2 linked regions of the Drosophila melanogaster genome follow. The protein of the gene in region 1 interacts with the protein of each later gene in a pairwise test. Each region holds a gene or a part of one and is shown in the gene's direction. Other genes may lie near its edges.

Evidence for each region.
Region 2: the proteins of RpS5b (region 1) and CG3939 interact in a two-hybrid assay, tested with the Drosophila melanogaster proteins (one large-scale study listed by BioGRID).

Annotation. Positions count from the first base shown.
Region 1 is NT_033777.3:14,899,932-14,903,527, reverse strand, and holds RpS5b (ribosomal protein S5b), read left to right. Parts: upstream 1-1,964; 5' UTR 1,965-2,050; coding exon 2,051-2,575; intron 2,576-2,630; coding exon of another isoform or gene 2,631-2,648; exon of another isoform or gene 2,649-2,707; intron 2,708-2,833; coding exon 2,834-3,001; 3' UTR 3,002-3,096; downstream 3,097-3,596. Other genes in the region: VhaPPA1-1 (vacuolar H[+] ATPase PPA1 subunit 1), read left to right, coding at 1-294; VhaPPA1-2 (vacuolar H[+] ATPase PPA1 subunit 2), read left to right, coding at 3,251-3,596.
Region 2 is NC_004354.4:3,173,006-3,176,949, forward strand, and holds CG3939 (uncharacterized protein), read left to right. Parts: upstream 1-2,012; 5' UTR 2,013-2,508; coding exon 2,509-2,653; intron 2,654-2,928; coding exon 2,929-3,191; 3' UTR 3,192-3,218; downstream 3,219-3,944. Other genes in the region: Fcp3C (follicle cell protein 3C), read right to left, coding at 405-590, 663-1,273, 1,338-1,389.

The DNA of each region.
Region 1 (3,596 bases):
CAGCTGGAGCAGTTCTCGATGGAGACGGCCCTTTCGCAGGCGGCTATTCAGAACACGAACTGGTTCTCCGGCTACCTCATCTTCGGTGCTGGCCTGGCTGTCGGCCTGGTCAATCTGTTCTGCGGCATTGCTGTGGGCATTGTGGGTTCGGGTGCCGCCCTCTCGGACGCCGCCAATGCCGCCCTGTTCGTCAAGATCCTTATTGTGGAGATCTTCGGTTCGGCCATCGGTCTGTTCGGCCTCATCGTGGGCATCTACATGACCTCCAAGTCCAAGATGGGCGACAAGGAGTAGGCGCCGTCGCCAGCCATGCAGTGTGAGTATGAATCATTGCAGAGACAGCCAAGGTCAAGAAAATAGCACTCGCGACGGAACAACTGAATCTTTATAACTTGTAGGTTGCATTGCGCGATTCGCGTCTAAGAGAATGTTGTAACGCACTTTTTGTTTGATAAACTAAGTAATAAGTTCATTTAACGCATAAACATAGAGGAGCTACCAGCTCTTCTCTGAGATGCATTTTATGAAACCTAAGCAATAGAACTCCTGATTGCCAATCCTTCGGTTTTACGAGTGCTATAGTCTCGACCTCAGTCAAACTCAAGCCGCGAAATAAACTTTCACTCTTCTCCCGCAGCCTTCGCCACTCCATTATCATCACGAAGAACAACACACATCAGAGCATTCCCCCATCCCCATGCAGACACGCACGACATCAGTGTTTGTGTATTTTTTTGGAAATTACGACTCGCTATACGCAGTTACTGCTTGCAGGAGACGCCCGACAAACCGAAATCCGATCAGCCGTAACGCTTTAAACTAGGACTTAGTTACTCATTAAGATGATAGTTGGTTAAGTTGGCAGTTGGTTTTCACGCCTCGCACGCTCGCAGTCACCAGCATCACTCAATCGACTGTGGAGTGTGCACGGTGTGAAAACGACCGTGATTTGTTTATTTCATTTCTTTGCCAAACGAAAGACATCGTGTGTGTGTGTCTGTGTTTGATTTTAAGCAGTTTGTTATGTTTGTTTCTACGCTGGCTCTTCAAAGGCTAATTTAAAATGTATTATATTTACTACCGCAAAACGATAAACTTGTATATTTCAAGCTACTGTTTGAGGCAGCAGTTGTAGATGGTTGCACAGTCGCATTATTATTATTATAGAAAGTATTCCATATTAAAACAAATAAAATATATACGTTTTGTTTATCAATATGTGTGAGAGTGTGACTACGGCGATGGCTTATCAGATATCAGAAGCACGCGCTAAAATGTTATGAGTGCGTTACACACATCATTCATACATATATATGGCACCTATTTGTTTTATAAAATGGTTCTCAGTTTGGTGCAAAAATTATATTATTAAACAAGCTTTGGAACAAGGAGGAAGGAAATAAACGAACTCAGGAACAAGGAAGAGGGATATGAATATTACGAATTAAACTTATTTGAATCAACTTTTCGTTCAGTGTATCAGTGCATAATGGGAAAGCAGCAATACTAGCAGCTTATGTTAAGTCAGCAGTAAAAAGAACCCGAGCTTTTGCTGCATTTGTTTATCCAAGCATATATGTATGGTGATGTGCATTTAAATTATGGGCACTTTTGGTTCATTCGCGTTTTCAGCGACTTCTGAAAAGGCAGTCTTACGGAACTAATTTACCAAAGTTATAAATAAACAATAATGTTCTTAATCTAAGAATAAAGTTTTTAAAAGTATATCGGTGGAGTGGACAATAAGAAAAAGTAAATGTCAATAAAATTAATGTTAATAAAAGAATTAGATCATTTGGTACCTGCCATAACGAATCCAGTTTGATAACAATGTGTAATCTAATAAACACAAAGGGCAATCCTGAAATTTGAACCCCCGCCAAAAAAAGGCCCCAAAGTTGGCAGCCCCTCGGCGCAGTGTTGCACGTCGCGGCCATTTTGAAAGTGACAGCTCCTTTTACCGTTTCTTTTTCATCCTCTTTCTTTCCGCGCCGAACGCTTCGCGAAGTCGCACGCCTTTTGAGATCTAGCTCGAATTAATTTCCCCGAAATGTCCGAGGAAGTGGTGGAGTCCAGCAGCCAGGAGGCGAGCCAGGTTATACCGCAGGAGCAGGAGGACTGGGCTGACGATGTCGTTACCACAATGCCGGCCCAGGAGGTCACCGAGTGGCCGGAAATCAAGCTTTTCGGGCGCTGGGCCTGCGACGACATCTCCATCAGCGACATCTCGCTGCAGGACTACATTGCCGTAAAGGAGAAGTTCGCCCGCTACCTGCCGCACTCCGCCGGACGCTATGCGGCCAAGAGATTCCGCAAGGCCCAATGCCCCATCGTGGAGCGCCTCACCAGCGGGCTGATGATGAAGGGGCGCAGCAACGGCAAGAAGCTCCTCGCCTGCCGCATCGTCAAGCACGCCTTCGAGATCATCCATCTGCTAACCTCGGAGAATCCGCTTCAGGTCACCGTCAACGCCATCGTCAATTCCGGTCCGCGCGAGGACTCCACGCGAATCGGACGCGCCGGCACTGTGCGCCGCCAGGCAGTCGATGTGTCGCCCTTGCGTCGTGTCAACCAGGTAATCGTGTTCGCATTCCACAAAGTCGTATGAAGTTAAAATGAGTCATTTTCAGGGAACTTCTTGTAGTTAAGAAAGTTATCTACGTAATTCTTACAGGCACTTGGACACTGCTTAAATTTAAAATAATAGGTACAATACATACCGATTTCAATGTAAATAATTAGAAAGCAGTAGCAGAAAGTTATTTTTATCCATTATAATAAGTCAAAATAGAACTTGACACAATAAAGTTAATAACTGAATGTTTTTTTGCAGGCAATTTGGCTAATCTGCACTGGAGCACGTGAGGCTGCCTTCCGCAACATCAAGACGGTGGCCGAGTGTCTGGCTGATGAGCTGATCAACGCCGCCAAGGGATCCTCCAACTCCTACGCCATCAAGAAGAAGGACGAGTTGGAGCGCGTGGCCAAGTCGAATCGTTAAGCTGCGGATTTTCTGCATTTCCATGAATTGATGCCGACTTACATAAGTTGCTATGTAATCATTTCATCTTCTAACTAAATACACAAATGTATTTTATTCCTTCTGTTTTTATTGGCATTCATTTCTACATATCATTTATATGTTCTATAAGAAATGATTATCCTGTCAGTTCGAAAAGATTTCATTCCACCGTGCCAACTTAAAATCGATTCTTTATATTCTGTTAATTCGAAGCTTTTCGCTTAAAAGATGATCTCTAAGATGAGTTTTGGATTATTCTTTATGCTGTTCGTACTGGGCGCCGCCTCGTTGGGCGCGGTTGGCATAATCTTCGCCAACGTGATGGTCAATATGGGTGAGCGCATGGGGCTCGGCTGGTTCCTGTACACCTCGAATCCCTTCCTGTGGTCCGGCATGGGCATCTTCCTCGCCTGCGCCCTGTCCGTTCTGGGCGCCGCCAGTGGAATCTACATGATTGGATGCAGTGTGGCGGGCGGCGGAGTGCGATCGCCTCGCATCAAGACCAAGAACCTGATCTCAGTCATCTTTTGCGAGGCGGTGGCCATCTATGGCCTGATCACGGCCATCCTGCTGT
Region 2 (3,944 bases), on another chromosome or scaffold:
ATTGGCGTTGCAAGTGATTACAACAATTGCGGAACGTACCTATTTAATGTTAGCTTACTGGCTCCGGAAAAAAAGTATTTCTCGCTTTGATTTCCTTAATTCAACTATTTATTTATTGTCAAAAATGTCAGTGTAGCCAGTTCACTTGTGTTTGGTATTGAGCCTAAAAACGCCACGCATATACTGTTATCTTAAAAAAAAAAAATACGTACTCTCTAGCAAAGAACGCAACCGGTTGGACTAATATAGTCCGGACTCGAACCAAACCGTTTGAAATCTATTAACCCTTATGTGCACACCTTAGCTTTTTTTTTGCTTTTTTTTTTAGATTTTTTAACACCATGCGCATTTACAATACAGTTGAAATTTTGTCATATCATATATTTATTTCATTTGCACAGTGCTTAACCCATCAATGGGCAACGGTAGGGAACGCCAGAGCGACAACAGTACTCCCTGCCCGCCTGCAGATTGGTATTAACCCATTGATTGTGACAGTTCTTGATGAACAAATAGGCCCGTTCCTTGTGACAATCGTGACCCAGTGCGGAGCATACTATATTTGCGGAATTCGGCAGATGTTGTACGATCTAAAATGGACGAAATGGTGAGTTATAGAGCGCTTCTCCTCATCTTTTCCTCCTCGTTTCCCCAGTACTCACCGTCTCTAGGCATTTGGTTTGACACTGCTTGCGACCGATGGCATTGCAGGGAAACATATGATCCAATTCCTGGTGGATAAGTGGCTTTGTCGGCAAGCCATTTGGGATTTGCGAGGAGAGGAAGACGCCGCATGTGCACGGCACTGGCTGATTATCCTGCACAGGCAGTCCCGCTGTCGGTGGCAAGGGAATGGTGCTAACCAGACTGCTGCTGCTCGATGGGTTTGTGCTCATCAGCGGACTCGCGGTGGTTGGCTCCATCGATCGTGTGGATCCTTCCGACGATCCGATGATGGGTGCCTCGCCAACGGTCGTTTCGGTGGTGCCATTGTTACCAATGGTTTCCGTGCTGGCTTCCAATTCGCTTGCGGGCGTTGTCATAATCACAAACTCAACGGCCGTGGGCCAATCCTCTTCGGCTGTTGTGCTGCTACTTGCAACACCAGTGCTGCTCATGGTGCTGGTTTCCAGTTTGACGGGCTTCGTCTTTATACGCTTGTCCTTGATGATGTTGCTATTGCCATAGAGCGGCTTCTTGTAGACTATCTTGGATGCCTCCAAATGGATGGCTAGCAGAAGTGTCAGCAGCAGCAGGGAATTTTTAAAGGCGCCTGATATATGAAATATATACGATATGAAATGTGTTCTTTAGCTAATATTACTTTCAAAGCTTACCCATCTTGGTATCTACGGAAACACTGAATACTTCTGCCTTTGCGCCATCCATTTTATATAAGCCATTTTCTTACTTGGCTTGCAGTTTTTCAAGATTTCGGTCTTCCATTTTAGTCGGCCCCCAACGAAGTTCAAGTTGTGAGAACCGGCAAAATTGTGTCAGGGTTAAGTCTGATTAAGCAGAATTTTCACACAAAGCGAGTGGAATTCATTCATTTGGAGGAAAGTGAGAAGAAAGAAAAAGAATTACTTCCGAAAATTATGCGTAATCAATAAACCCAAAAGTTGTGTCTTGAGCTGCACAAAGTTTACCTTACCGTTCTAAACTACTTTCCAAAATCTTTTTAAATATCCCGCCAAACTGCAATGAAACTGTTATGATTATAATAACATAATGGATAACATAAATAAACGGCCGATTAAACAGCAATTATTATCCAAATTATACAAGTTATAATATGGTAATATTAACAAACATTTCAACATAAGCAAAGCTTTGGTTTTTAATCTAATTATAGATTTAATTTAATTTTCATTTTTTGGTTTGTTTTTCGTTAAGTTAGTATTTTTTGCGCTGTTTATGGAACTTAACAGAAATACCAATCAATATTGGGCGGCCAACATTTGAAATATAAATACAGATTATCGATATGTATCTTGAACGAAGTTTTAAATGTTTGTTATTTGTTAAACTCAACAATCCTATAGATTTATGCCATAAAAATGTCAAAATTATCGTTGCTTCAAATGATTTAAGTACAAAATTCGAGTTTCGATAAACGGTTAACAGTGCCGTACTCACCACGGTGCGCCCAACAGCACGCACACACAGCCGGCTGTGGTGGGTTCGCTGGACAGGCAGTGTGGTGAATATACTAGTTGCTGGAGCTTGCCGCAAAAAAAAAAAAAAAGAAAACAAAACAGATCGAAAAACACAGCAAACAACAAAATTATACGCCATTAATTACCCGATAAACTTACCGATGGCCGATAAGCAACGGCTAAGTGATCCGTAACACCCAGCGATAAGATCCAGATAAGATTGGAATTAAATTTTGGGTTTGCCATCCGCATCGAAATCGCCGCAATCGGAATTTACTTGTACACCAGCCAACTCGCCGTTCAAGACGTCCAAGTTTTTTTTAATCCAGAAATCCCATACACTGCCAAAATGCCCGAATATGTGCCGGCACGGGGCTTCAAGGAGATGGAAAATCTGATCAAGCTGTACGAGAACCAGCGCAGCCCCATCTACATCTACTTCTACGGCGAGAAAGACAAGGACGGACGCAGCTGGTGTCCGGACTGCGTGGCGGGTAGGTGACGAATTCTCCTCGCCCAGCGGGGCGTTACTAGTCCAGTTGGGCACTCTACATTCTGCTTATCACGCTTCTCATTTGTGGGTTTCAGTTAGTTACTTTCTACCCAGCTAACTTGAGTTACTTTTGATTTGATTTTCGCTCTCCATTGAGAGTTCCATCTACATTGTACATTGTCCTCATCATTTCGATTCATTTCATCGCAGAGTTATAACATAACATAAAGAAGTGACATACATTAAGTTAATCCCATTATCGCTGATATTTTCCAGCCGAGGAAACTATCATGAGTGCCTTTCGCAACCACGCGCCGGCGGATTGCATGATCCTGGTGGTGGACGTGGGTAGCCGGGAATCCTGGATAGGCAAGGACAACATGTTCCGAAAGCCGCCATACTCGGTGGAAGGCATACCGACCCTTATACGCTGGAAGGGCGTGGAGCGCCTGGATGGGGATCAGCTGCTCAAGTCGAGTCTTCTGGAGCTCTTTTTCGAGGAGACCGATCCGAAGAAGTCCAATTTTGTCGCCCAATAAAACGCGATTTGGCTTTGGCTTAAACTCACTCCCACTCTCAGTCTCTCTCTCTATCACTCTCTCTCTCTCTCTCTCGCTGCGGCTCTCTTTCTCTTTGCTGCTTTGCGCTCAACTCGGTGGAAAGAACGAGTGAAATTGTCGTTGGGAGGGGTGGTGCTAAAAAAGGGGGGAATGGAGAAATGGGGGAGAACAGAATGAGTGGAGCATTTCTGGCTGGCAGCGCGTCGCTCGGCATTTACTCGTTTATTTGCACGCATGTCGTCGACCAGGACGAATCGTTTGGCAGAGCGCGGCTGAAAAAGGAATCGAAAACGGGGCTATAACGGTAATAGCGGCACACGCGTCCAACGGTAAACACGCGTGCCAACGCGCCATCTCGCTCGCACGCGCTAATGCCGCGATTTAAGTTTTGTTTTATTTTTTGCAAGTGTTCGAATCAAAAAGCCTAACAAAACACAAAACCCGAAACAGTTCTCAAGAAATACATAGGTAAATGCAAAGTAAGATATGTATATATGTAGCTAAACATAGCGGAAAAGCGCAGAGTATCATTGAATTTGAAGCACACGACCGCACAGTTTTGCAAGCTGATTAACTGTAAACATGCTGAACATAAACAATGGATAAAAAAACATGATAGATCCTGCCTAAAAGTGAATGGTTATAAATTAAGAATGGGCTTGCAACGGTAAATCCTGTTGCGTTTTGCTTTAACTGTTTGAAAATAAAAAAAAATATATATTTAATAATAGA